Xenopus tropicalis: one gene and its partner. The protein of the gene in region 1 interacts with the protein of each later gene in a pairwise test. Links are inferred from orthologs where the notes say so. Each region holds a gene or a part of one and is shown in the gene's direction. Other genes may lie near its edges.

Evidence for each region.
Region 2: the proteins of kcna3 (region 1) and cav1 come close enough for resonance energy transfer, tested with the Homo sapiens proteins (2 studies listed by BioGRID). The link is inferred for Xenopus tropicalis from reciprocal best matches to the Homo sapiens genes KCNA3 and CAV1.

Annotation. Positions count from the first base shown.
Region 1 is NC_030678.2:52,492,626-52,499,600, forward strand, and holds the start of kcna3 (potassium voltage-gated channel subfamily A member 3), read left to right. Parts: upstream 1-3,325; 5' UTR 3,326-3,639; coding exon 3,640-5,220; 3' UTR 5,221-6,527; intron 6,528-6,975.
Region 2 is NC_030679.2:68,067,299-68,073,636, forward strand, and holds part of cav1 (caveolin-1), read left to right. Parts: intron 1-2,704; coding exon 2,705-2,875; intron 2,876-6,338. UniProt on the Homo sapiens protein: May act as a scaffolding protein within caveolar membranes. Forms a stable heterooligomeric complex with CAV2 that targets to lipid rafts and drives caveolae formation. Mediates the recruitment of CAVIN proteins (CAVIN1/2/3/4) to the caveolae.

The DNA of each region.
Region 1 (6,975 bases):
GTTACCTGGTGCCTAACCCTGCAAAGTTTGGGGACCCCGGTGTTATAACTGTGAGAATGGCAGCAGGATGGATTTCTGCCAAGTCAATAGGTAAAACATGATTGGCTATTCACAGCTCCGCCCATTTTTGGGCATCCAACAATCATCACATTTTCATTCAGGCTGACCCCATGACTATGTGATTCAAGTTTGGGGAGTGTAGCCTCAAAGCTGTAAGAGTGGCAGCAGTTTAAATTTTCCCATTTCCAAGTCAATGGATAAAATTTTATTGGCTGTTGTTGGCCTCTCCAACTTTGGGGTCATCCAACAAAGTCGCTGTTTCATTCGGGGTGACCCCATGATTATGTTATTCAAGTTTGGGGAGTGTAGCTTCAAAGCTGTAAGTGTGGCAGCAGTTTGAATATCTTCCCTGTCAAAGTCAAAGGGAAAATTGGGGGGTTCGGAGCGGCGCCACAAAACAACTGGGGGCGCAATCGCTTAGAAAAGCACAAGCAACCTGCTACACTATAGGGCAAAGAAGTGTGGAGAGTTTGGGTGTTGTACCCCTAAAACTGTAGAAGGAGTAGCATTAAGAAAATGGGGGGCGCAAAGAAGTGGAAGAATAAGCCAAGAATATGTCAAAGAACAGTATGTTGGGTTTTTCAACCCAACACAATAAAAATCAGTTGACTTGCCTCATATCTTCTGGTCTTGCCCCCAGATACAGACTTTCTGGGATGAGATTCTAACACTCATACGGCAGGTTACATCTCAGACGCTTGATAAAGATATCCTAATCCTCCTTCTGGGGAAACCTTCCAAACAATTCTCAAAATCTACACAAAAACTTGTCAACCAGATACTCTCAGCCACCTGCATCTCCATAGCAGCTAAATGGAATTCCCATGCATTCCCTCTATCCTAGAAATAAACGGAAAAATCAATAATACCATGCAATTTGAATACAGACTGGCCCGTATACAAAACAAAATACCCAGTATGTTAAAATCTGGTCTCCCTGGGATCTTCTCTCCAACATGACCTAACTACAAAACAGGGCACTTAGATGCAGTGAATACCAGTCAACCCCAGTTTTCTCTTTGTACCTTTTCCCCCTATTTCTCCCCTCCACCTGTATCTATCAGTCTCTAAAACCTGGTATGCACAGTACAACACAAATCTGATGGCACAACCAGTCAGGCATAAACCCTATTTGTGTAGAATGTGTAGACTAACAAAAGATAACTATATGAACCGAACCATACTGTTACTATGTTGATTTTTATAAGAACGACTGTATAAGCTGTACATTTACTGTTTGCTTTCTTTTTGAAAAAATAAAATTATAAGTTACAACAAAAAAAAATCAGTTAGGCAGCCCCCAGTGATTATAATAACTTACCTGATACCCCGGGTGGGTGCTTATGAGTAGCAGAAAACTGCAACAGCCTGGCGTACTTCTGTAAGTGCTCTGTGCAGTGATCTTCTTCTATAGGTTCTTCTTGTGCAACTTTTTAGAAAATGTATGTAGCATGATAGGGTTGCTCCTAACAAGCATCAAATGAAACATCATGGTATTGACTTTTAAATAAATGTGCTAATGTATATTTTTTTCCACTTCATAAAATCTGCTCTGATATTATTGTTGGGTTGTTACTGAGCACAGAAGGACACAAATAGGTTCCTGGGCCTAATTCAGTCATAACCTGGCTTAATGTGGGCATACTGTACACAGTCAGTAAGTCAGTAAGGTTTAAGAATCCTGTTGGATAAGGAGTGCATCAGGGTGTTGATGTGGTCCTGTCCCAAGATCTTGCTGTGCATGGCCAGTTTAAGTTTGTGATTCAACAAGTGTTTTCATTCATCTTACCTGCCTATGTGGGTAGTGGGTTGGCTCCTACCAGAAACTCTGAAAACCACTACCAAAGAGAATCCAGTTTTGAGCTGAAATTCGCTGTTTTGCTAGCTGTACTATAATTTTACTATCTTGCCCAGTTGTACTACTTGATGGGGGGAGGCAGGCCAGCTTTCCCCACCCAAAATCATCTTCCGCAATGCCTGGGCCAGACTATGCCATCAAATGTTTAGGGGAAGACTGTGCCTTGAAATGCTTGGGGACACAGTATGTCAAGAAGGAACAGCGAATAGACAGTGTGTATATCATAAACTGCTGGAGTACCTAATGCTTCATTACTCCGGATGATTACAAAGTAGGCAAAACCAAAATTTGTGCCAAATCATGTCCCTCTATTTGTGTTTCTGTGTCCCTTTACTTTTTTATATTTAAGGTCCCCATACACAGGCCGATTCTAGCTGCTGATATCAGTCCCTTAAAACGATTCGGCAGTTAATCGGCCCATGTATGGGCACTACCGACGGTCCTGTCCGACCGATATCTGGCCTGAAATCGGCCAGATATTGATCGGGCAGGTTAAAAAATCTAGTCGGATCGGGGACCGCATTGGCTCATCCGCAATCCCCAGGGCCAAACGATTGAATTAGCCTGGATTCTCCCGATATTGCCCACCCGTAGGTGGGGGATATCGGGAGAAGATCCACTCGCTTGGCGATGTCTGAAGGTGTATGGGGACCTTTACACTCAACCAAAGTTCTGTCAAGTTTAAAGGCTAGTGCACACAACAAATGGTTTGCATAAAGAATTTTGCATTTATGCTGACCTGAGCACATTTCAAAATGTGTGCACAAAAAAATGTTTGCGCAAATATCTGAAAAGGAATTAGGAGCATTGCACTCAACCACAACATAGCCAATCAAGATATCTCCCACAATAAATGTGCAAGCTATAGCTCTTTCAGGTATTCTGCCCCTCTCATCTGTTGCCTGGTGTGTGCCCATTGCCCCTTCCTGCCCCCCAAATTAAAGATAGTGCCACTTAAATAAGGGCCAATTCCCCCATCACTGTTTTTAAATACATCCTGAACAGATTCTTGCAGCATTTAGTTTATAAGGATATCATGTTATAAATAGCATTTAACTTCTTTCTGAAGACTTTTTTTTAAGTGAAAACTATAAGCCCCTGTAGATAGAACACCCTGTGTCTCAACCCTTTCTCTTGTAAGCTCTTCACCTCTTGTATCGGTTATTGCTTGCTTTATATGTTACTCTGTAAGTCCAATGTATGAAACCCACTTATTGTACAGCGCTGCGGAATATGTTGGTGCTTTATAAATAAATGTTAATAAATAATAATAGAATGATGACAGAAAAGAGACTGTCCTTATGCTTATCCAGCCATAGAGTTGGGCATAGGAATAGAATACAGATATGCTGATGGATGGGTAGGTTTAGGCAGACAGAGCTACAAGAGCCCCTTTCCTCACACACACAATCCTTGTCTGCCTCCTTCCCTCAGGTGGTAGCTGCCCGCTCTCTGTGGGCGGGAAGGAATTGGCGGGAAAGGAGGGGTCGGAGGAGCAAGGGATGGCAGAAGGAGACCTATATATCTCTGTGTGCGCTCCATCAGCTAGATTCCATAGTCTGGGAGGTAAAAAGGAGGAATCTCCGCAAATGCTTTTAATATACAAGACGCAACAAGATTCTACCAGAGAGAGCTGGGAGGGGAGCCTGCGGCTCATGTAGTGGGCTGAAGGAGGAGGCCACCGCGCTTCTCCTACCCGCCCAACCCCTCATCTCACCTTTATGGACGAGCACCTCAGTCTCCTGCATTCGCCTCCTCCATCCTCCACCAGACACAGAACCAACTCGAACATAGTTAACCCAGGCTACACGGACTTGGAGCAGGAGATCATGACTGTGGTGGCGTGTGATAACATCCTGGAGGAGGCGGCTGCCCTGCCGGGGCACCACTCTAGCGAAGCCTACGAGCAAGAGGACCATGAGTGCTGTGAGAGGGTAGTGATCAATATATCCGGCCTTCGCTTTGAGACCCAGCTGAAGACTTTAGCCCAGTTTCCCGACACCTTGCTCGGCGACCCCAAGAAAAGGATGCGATACTTCGATCCCCTGCGGAACGAATACTTTTTTGACAGGAACCGCCCCAGTTTCGATGCCATCCTTTACTACTACCAGTCGGGCGGCAGGATCAGGAGACCGGTGAACGTTCCCATAGACATTTTCTCAGAAGAGATCCGCTTCTACGAGCTGGGGGAAGAAGCCATGGAGAAGTTCAGAGAAGATGAGGGCTTTATCAGGGAAGAGGAGCGGCCGCTTCCCCCCAATGAATTTCAGAGGCAGGTATGGCTTCTTTTCGAGTACCCTGAGAGCTCCGGACCTGCCAGGGGTATCGCCATCGTCTCCGTCCTGGTGATCCTTATTTCCATTGTCATCTTCTGCCTGGAAACGCTGCCCGAGTTCCGAGACGACAAGGAATACAGCGGAACGGCTCTGCCCCCTGGCAATGGCACCGGCCCGTACATCAGCAGCTCCTTCACCGACCCGTTCTTCGTGGTGGAGACCCTGTGTATCATATGGTTTTCATTCGAGCTGCTGGTCAGGTTCTTCGCTTGCCCGAGCAAAGCCACTTTCTGTAAGAACATTATGAACATTATAGACATAGTGGCCATCATCCCTTACTTTATCACCCTGGGGACTGAGCTGGCTGAGCGCCAAGGAAACGGGCAGCAGGCGATGTCGCTGGCAATCCTCCGAGTCATTCGGTTGGTCAGAGTCTTTCGGATCTTCAAGCTTTCCAGGCATTCCAAAGGGCTGCAGATCCTGGGGCAGACACTGAAGGCCAGCATGAGGGAACTGGGGCTGCTCATCTTCTTCCTTTTTATCGGAGTCATCTTATTCTCCAGCGCAGTCTACTTCGCAGAGGCTGATGACCCTTCTTCTGGGTTTAATAGCATCCCGGACGCCTTTTGGTGGGCGGTGGTCACCATGACTACTGTGGGATACGGTGATATGCATCCTGTCACCATTGGGGGAAAGATTGTGGGCTCTCTGTGTGCCATTGCCGGGGTGTTAACAATCGCCCTGCCGGTGCCTGTCATCGTCTCTAACTTCAACTATTTCTACCATCGGGAGACGGAGGGAGAGGAGCAGGCTCAGTACCTGCACGTAGGGAGCTGCCAGCACCTGTCTTCCAATGAGGATCTGAAGAAGGCACGGAGCAACTCCTCACTGAGCAAATCAGAGTATATGGTCATAGAGGAAGGGGTCAGCCCGGGGCCCTTTAAACAGCCGGCCTTCAAAACGGGCAACTGCACAACAAACAACCCAAACTGTGTGAATATCAAGAAGATCTTTACCGATGTGTAACTGCGAGACACTTGTTGCCAAGTGAATACATCAACAGCAACTAGAAAAGTCACTGTAGCATCGGCATCAGCGTGTTCCTCTCATTGTTTCTTTTCTGAGCGCTTCCACCTAAATACACGGTGCCGGCAGCCTGGTGTGGGGCTGGTGTGGGGCTGGTGTGGGGCTGGTGAGCGACAGCCAGCGATTCAGCTGCTGTTTCGGGGAGCTGCCATCTATCGCCTTTATTTTAACATTCTGCAAGAAAGCGGGAGCGGGTTGCTAAGTCTTACATTTTCTCTCAATTAAGTGCTGCTGCTTAGCTCTTAAATATCAGTGCATAAGGAACACCACCTTATTGCTAATTACTTCTCAGGCATCCTTCTGAGGGCAATATGATTCAATTTAACCATTCTTATTTGGCTCCTGCTTACAATGTTTTTTTTTTTAAAAAAAGATGAAGTCCTTAATCCCTGCAGAAAAATCGCATTGTTCTGTTCTATTTTTTTATGACAGAACAGCACAGATGTTTCTGCTTTAATGTATAAGTAGATCAACACTCAGTAAAAAATTTGTTTAAAGCTGCTTTTACATATTATAAAGTTGCAGTGAAACTGCATTTTTATGTCTATGATAGTGCCAAGCAGCATAACAAAATTCAGAATGTCCTTAGATTATGTTATGTGTAACAGGTCTACATGCCAGAAGATTAAACTGCTGGACTTGCTTTTCATCGGAAGTTACTAATTCTGACCCCAGTGATGCAGTTTCCATAGCAACAAAGGTTTCCTGGGAAACCCTATTCGTTGTCATGGTATCTCTTTAGTTCCCATAGCAACTATCCAGATGGCTCCAACTTACAGATATGCTGCTGCTGTTGGGAAAATGCTCAGAGAAAGTTAATCCCAGAGAGCTTTGCAAAATAGGTATGGAAATAAGAACGTCACCTGTGATGAAGGAAATGAATAATCATTTCTAGCCTCTTGTTGAAAAGTATAAAGTAATCTTCCAAAGAATTAACTGTGAGACAAAACAAATATGACTGTAATAAATCTACAAGGAAGGGTCTGCTGCAAAGGGTAAATCAAACTGAGTAAAATGATCACATAAAAATGACTTGAAAGAAAATAAGCAGTAGCATCTTAGAAAAAAGCACTTTATACATTTGAAAACACATCAGCACTTAACTATGTAAGGGAAGTGAACCAGCCTTATCAGGAAAAACAGACCATGGCAATTAGGGAATAACTGAAAGGCAACCTCAACTGGAAAATGCCACCCTTGTCTTATTCAACCCTTTCACCAAAGGAAGTGGTGCAACATAAAGGAAGGTGAGCCTTGTCAACATTTTGTTTGTGCTTTTATAAATACTAAATATGGCCCTAATATCTGAGGAATGGTTAGTATAATTGATTATCATGATAATCATTTTCTGCTGATTGCTCTGGTTACATAAAAATGACATAGGTTACACGTTTTGTCAAATATAGCTAAACAGATCTGGACATTTGCCCACATTATATCCCGCAGAACAAATGTAATATCCACAGTGCATTTAAATATTTTCCTTTTGAGAGCAGCTGCTTAAAATAATATGTCTTCTCTCATTTATTATCAGTAATAAATTATTTTATTCTTCAATAAGAACAGACACATTTATGCAGTGCTTTATACAGACTGTTCATTATTAATTTAAAATTGGTACCTTTCCCAATAGATCTCACAATCTAAGTCCATGTCACATTTACACATACACGGTTGGGTCAGTTTCACGTGAAA
Region 2 (6,338 bases), on another chromosome or scaffold:
ACTAAAGTTCCATTTAATGTGCTTTTTATGATCTGCCATTTAAACTATAATCTAGGTTACTAGGTCCAATCAGTGTTTTTTAACGTCACTATGAAAGATCAATAGACAAAGGCCTAAATAGTAAAAGACAGAATTTAAAATTAAAAAAAAAAATAATTGCAAAGTGCAAAGATCAAGCACCGTCAGTATATGTCTGTGGAGGGCCTACATTGCCCACTGCAGAATTATCACATCTGCTGACTGTACATAATTATGACTTTGTTTCTTATCATTTTATGCACTTCTTTTGCTTCTTCTGAATCAATTTTATTAACCTGAATAAATTATAGGAAAAATGTGTTTTGGAAGAAAACAAGGGAGAAGTAGGACACACTGTATATAAAAGACAAAAATTGTATTGTTCAGTGCTTGGCTTGTGGCAGAGGAAAACGGGAGGTTCCCAGTTGGCAACCAGATAAATGATGTGACAGAGAAGTATAACCTGAGGATGTCCAACTTTTGTAAAATATTTCTTGGCATCGCTAATCCTGTTTTGTAGACAAAATGGTTTCATCCCAAAGGTGTGTAAAGCTGGCTATACATAACCAGATCTGGTCAGGGAGTTTGGACGATTTTGACCACACTACCTAAACATCTAAATATGTCAGGTGGGGGGGGGATCTGAACTGGCCAGTTTGCAATCCTGTTGGTTGAAGATGGTCTCTCCAGTTTGACAGTATTTCATCTGCTCATGCCTATACCAAACCATTTTATTCATCATATTATGTTATTTAGATATGGGCCCTACAGCCCTAATTGTAATAGCACATCAGACGTTACAGAAAAAGTGTCCACCACATCTGACTTAACCCTGCCCTCTTCAAACCTGAACCTGCCCCAATCCGGCCAGCTGTAATTTTTTATATACACGTGCCTGCCCCTCTCTGATATAACTGAAGTCAGCAGGGAGGGGGGAGAGCATATATAAGAGCAACAGCAGGTGGGCAAAAGAGATAATGATGTCATGGGGGGAGGGGGGCGTGGGAATAGTTTGGCCCTCCATTCACCTGCCACAAGCAAAAAAAGTGATTGGCCTGCCCAAACTCACATCACTAGTCCATGGCTACCATCCATCAGAAAGAAGCAGGGGTATAGAATGCCTTGTCTGCTTGTCACCATTCTTAATGGTACTTAAAGGAAAGGGTCCTGACTGCATGCCTGTTATTGACTAAAATTAGGAGTGAGGTCTACAGTGGACTAGTGATGTGTGGGTCAGGAAATATTCAACCCAAAATGTTAGGTCGCTAATATAAAATAGATCACTAAGTGCTCCTGCTAGGAACCTGCGGAAAAAACTGGAGCGATGCATCAACATTTTACTCCACTTTCTACTGCGGCCCCAGGCATCCCCAGTGTTAATTCCTGTTCATGCAAGCGCAATAGTGCATACCCGAGATTTTACTCTACTGCGTATGTGCAGAATGCCAAGTGCCAAGGAAGGAGATGACAGTGTGGCACTCAATTTTTTCCACAGGTTCTTTCCTAAAAGGAGCACCAGCCTAGGGAAAAAAACTTAGCAATCTATTTCACTGGGGGGATGTAATGTCCAATATGTGAATAATGGCAAACATTGTGATTCTGAGCATTTTGTTTCCCACTATGCTCAAGCCCTATTTAAAGTGAATGGGAAGAGCATTTTAAGGATTTAGCATCTTCCCATAGTGCTACAGAGTGCAGGAAGGCAGTGTGCCATTAACCTTATGGGATCTGAATATCATTTGCAATGGAATAATACATAGTACAGGTATCGGACCTCTTATACGGAAACCCATTATCCAGAAAGTTCAGAATTACGGAAAGGCCATCTCCCATAAACTCCATTTTAAACAAAGAGTTCACATTTTTGAGAATGATTTCCTTTTTCTCTGTAATAATAAAACAGAACCTTGTACTTGTTTCCAAACTAAGATATAATTAATCTATATTGGAGCCAAAACAATCCTATTGGGTTTATTTAATGTTTAAATCATTTTTTTTTTAACAGACTTAAGGTAGGAGATCCGAATTACAGAAAGACCCCTTATCTGGAAAACCCCAGGTCCCAAGCATTCTGGATAACGGGTCCCATACCTGTACCATAACCATATACACTAGAGCTTTTGAAACAAACATATTTTCTTCAGTGCAGTGCAACAGTACATTACATTTAAATGTACTTAAAACCCTTGTTTTTGTATTTACTGGTCTGGCTGTGAGGGGATTTGGGGGTTATGGTTTGATTACAGCTGGAGGATTACAGAGCTACATTTACTGGTTCGCAACAGCGCTGAGCCCTTTGGTAGTCCAGTCGAATTGCAGCCGCTTTGTACAAAGGGCAGTGAGGGCTGCAGGAATGGAGGGCGCCCTCGGGTGTGGTGCGAAAGGAAACTTTCGGGGTGTGGCAGGGGGGTTGCCTGCCTGGGAGGGGTCCGAGGGGGATCGGAATCCCCTAGGAATGAGGAATATTCCCGATCCGATGACCCCTGCTGGAGAGAGTCCGTGCTGCGGTACAGAGGGGTGTGGTGTGGTGCATGGAGCCAGTTATAAGCCAAGCCTTAGTAGCACCGTGTGAGAGGAGTAAGCGCAGCTCTGTGCCACAGCTCTCACCCCCTATTCCCATCTATGGTGGCACTGCGCTAACGCTTGTCTTTTCTCTTCTTCGCTCTCGGCCGTCCCGCTCCCCCAGGGTGTGCTCTACACCACGCCGGTTATCAGAGAGCACGGCAACATCTACAAGCCCAATAACAAGACCATGGCAGGTGAGACCCTGATGGATACAGCTGCCCGGGACGTGCACACTAAGGAGATCGATCTGGTCAACAGGGACCCCAAGCACCTGAATGACGATGTGGTGAAGGTAAGACTGGAGTTATGTGCCATGTACTGACACTAGGTTAATGTGAGAAAGTTATATTGTTACATTGACTTGTGCCAGGGAGACGTCCCTTATCTCGGGGACTATAGACTTGTTCTGCACTTTAGGCCAGTGGTTTCCAAACTTTGGGGCTGGTCATGCTAGTGGGGCGTATTTGCTCTACTATATACTTTACTCAATAAAATAAATGTAAAGGTCATTTAGGGTGAGATTTGAAGTAAACTTATATTTGGTCTTTTGGATATTCTTGTAACTATGTTTTTATAGCAGATATAGCAATGTTAATATATAGCTTCCTTCAACGTTGTTATTATCTGGAGGGGGGTAACTGTGACCCCCGTAGAGTGAACCTGAAATGATCAAGTCCCAAAACCAGTGTATAGTGAGAGTATAGCATCCCAGTATTCACAATTCATATCATCCCATTCCAAATCATAGGAGCACAAGGAGATTTAGCACACTCTGTCGGTATAACATACACAGTGCTGATAAAGCACAGGCACATCATGCAGTTAGGGCTGAAGGGTTAAAGGGAAAGGTCCCCCTGTATGACAGGCAGCAGGCCATGTAAGTTGTGACATTTTTACACTTGGCTCATTTGTTTTCCCCTCTGAGCTTGGGAACAAAATGTTTGGAAAGTTGTCAGAGAGATGTTTGTGGTTTTTGGAAAGTGAGTTGGGAAGGCTTTAAGTGAATCCACCCTTTTTCTGTCATAGTCTTATTGGATATAATAGAGGATTTTGAGGCCCCTCCCTTAAATGACCAGGTGCTAAGGAAAAATGTTCCCTTAAATCTGGGCTGCACATACTGTACTCCAGAAATCCAATAAACCGCCATCCCTAGTATGATTCATTATATTTGCCCTCCAAGTTGTTTAATATTCTCTGGGACCAAGAACTCACAGACCTATGTCCTCATGTAACTAGCTCTCTTCTCATAATGCCAACATATCACTGCCAGGTATATAGGCCATATAGAATTGTGACCATGGGGAAGAATTTTAATGTCTTCTATAAAGATACATACATAGCAGTATCCCAACACCACCATTCCTACTCAATATCTGGTACCCACAGTTGTGAGTCTTGTGCTGTCCCACAAACATTTTGGTAAATTGTACAGTATGACTTGCACACATACAGTGTGGGCTACTACAATACAGTTGTACTTGCATGGTTGGCAACAGATACGTACGATGGGATTGGGGTAGAGTGCAATTTTGTGATTGATCTGTCGTTCTGTTCCACCATGGTTGACAACTGTATCATATTTCATTTAAAACCATTGCTAGTGTAAAGCTAGCTCTTTGAGGTTCACTCTGCTGTATAAGGAGCCCTGGTGTATGCTTCAGTTAACCTATTTTTTATATTAGGGGTAACTGGAGAATATACCACAGCTGCATGTCTTTTACAGCCCAAAGATGGGTGGGGTTTCCAAAACTTCATAGTTCAGCAGCAGACATGATCTAAGGTGCTAGTGAGAATTGCAGCAAATAAATGGCCTAGTGCATGTAAATTATTCATGTACCTTTATACATTGATGCTTACATGTCAATACAAATATACTAACAATTATAACAAATTATTAGTGCTAGGCATGGTGCAAAGTGCAAAAAATGGCACAAACTCTATGTTTCTTGGATGTTTGCACCCTGGGTGGGTGGTATTTGTGGCAGATCTGCAAACGGCTTGATGTAATTAAATATAGGGAAATATGGTTCAGGACCTAAAATAAACAGCTCAGTGTCATACTAACATGATGTAATTGCAACAGGATATGACTGAATTTAACAGCACCACAATCTACTAAAAATATGGACTAACTGGGCCAAGTCAAAAATTTAGAAAGTGGGGTTTTTGGCGCACCCTAAAATTACAGGGCCCATTATTTATGCCCTCGCCATATACTAATATCTACAGTTAGTATTAGTGGTTGTATATATAGTTTATGTATGGGAGTGTATAGATTGGTAGGTGTGGGTTGTGTGTGCTGGGTTTACTTGGATGGGTTGAACTTGATGGACTCTGGTCTTTTTTCAACCCTATGTAACTATGTAACTATTTGCTGCATTTTATACTGCATTTGCATTGCAGTTTATTGTGTACCACAAAGCTGCAACATGTGTTAATTGATCTCATTTTTCTTTATGTGTCCGTGACTGAGATCAAAGTTGAATACAGACAAAAAGGGACACATTCTACTTTTTTCAGTAGAGAGAGTGTAACAACCAGAAAGGAAGAATGAGTGCATTTAACTCATGCATTTCTAATGATTTATAACAGGCCTCACTGTAATGATAAAGAGATAATTATCCATATACATATCAGCATTCTAATTATTTAAATTATTTTGTGCAGTATCTATGTAAGCTCATAAAAAAGACTTAGGGGATGATTTACCAACTCCAAAAGAGTCAGTGGTAGCTTTAAACTAAACAGTTGTTTTAGTGTAGAAATTATACAAATTGATTTGACTCAAAATATTTCATGATTTCACACATAAAGTGTCAAATCATTTAAACTTTCCTGACTGTCAGGATATGGGTTTCTGCACCTTGGCAAACTTTGAGCCTTCATTACAAATGTGAGCATGAGTTTAAACCACATTCAACAGCTTTGCTAAACTTTCCAGTGGCTAGAAGCTCATGGTGCATACCCAATGGAAAAGGCCAGCAAACTTTATCCTGTGAGATCAAGGAATTTGCTTTGGGATATCCAAAGAAGTTAGTAAAATGAATAATGCAAACCACCTGCCGAGACAGTTGAGTGGAAAACATTGCACTGACACAACATACGCAGAATATGGTGTGACTTCCAAGCACAATTTGCAGCTGCATGGAAAGTATGAAGACGCTCCCACTCTGTCAGTGTGCTGAATCTGGTCACAAGTATATGGAAACTAAATGCACATAAATCAGCTATGAAAGATACAATAAACTTGGCATTGAACCTGCTCTGTAAGCATCACATTCCATGCTGCTAGGAGGGAAACACCTTCCAGGTTTATTTTTCATGCAATGATGTGAACTTGTCACCTTGGAAAATGTTATCTCTGGATTTTTACAAAAATGCTGTTTTGTTGTCTCAGAGGAAATCCGGCAATAACCCAGTGGTAAGCATAACCCTCCCTACAGAATTTACACTGCCCTTCAGTGGAAAACAGCAGTGACCAAATGCCCCATCCTCCTGTCTTAGCTTCTAATTTTATTGATTAAATTGCCCTGTCTTGTGCATGAGGAGAGGTGAGAGATGGACCATGGCACCAAAACGCTCTATTGATCACCACTGTTCCCTCCCTAAAATGTTCATGTTCCATTACCATAATTTTATCTGCTACAATTCTGCTATGCACACAGGACCGCTGTCAAGGTGTGTCTGAACCACAGACCCCATGACAGCTGAATCCTGTCCCAAAATGCATCAGTAGGCTTATGTTCCCTTGTTAG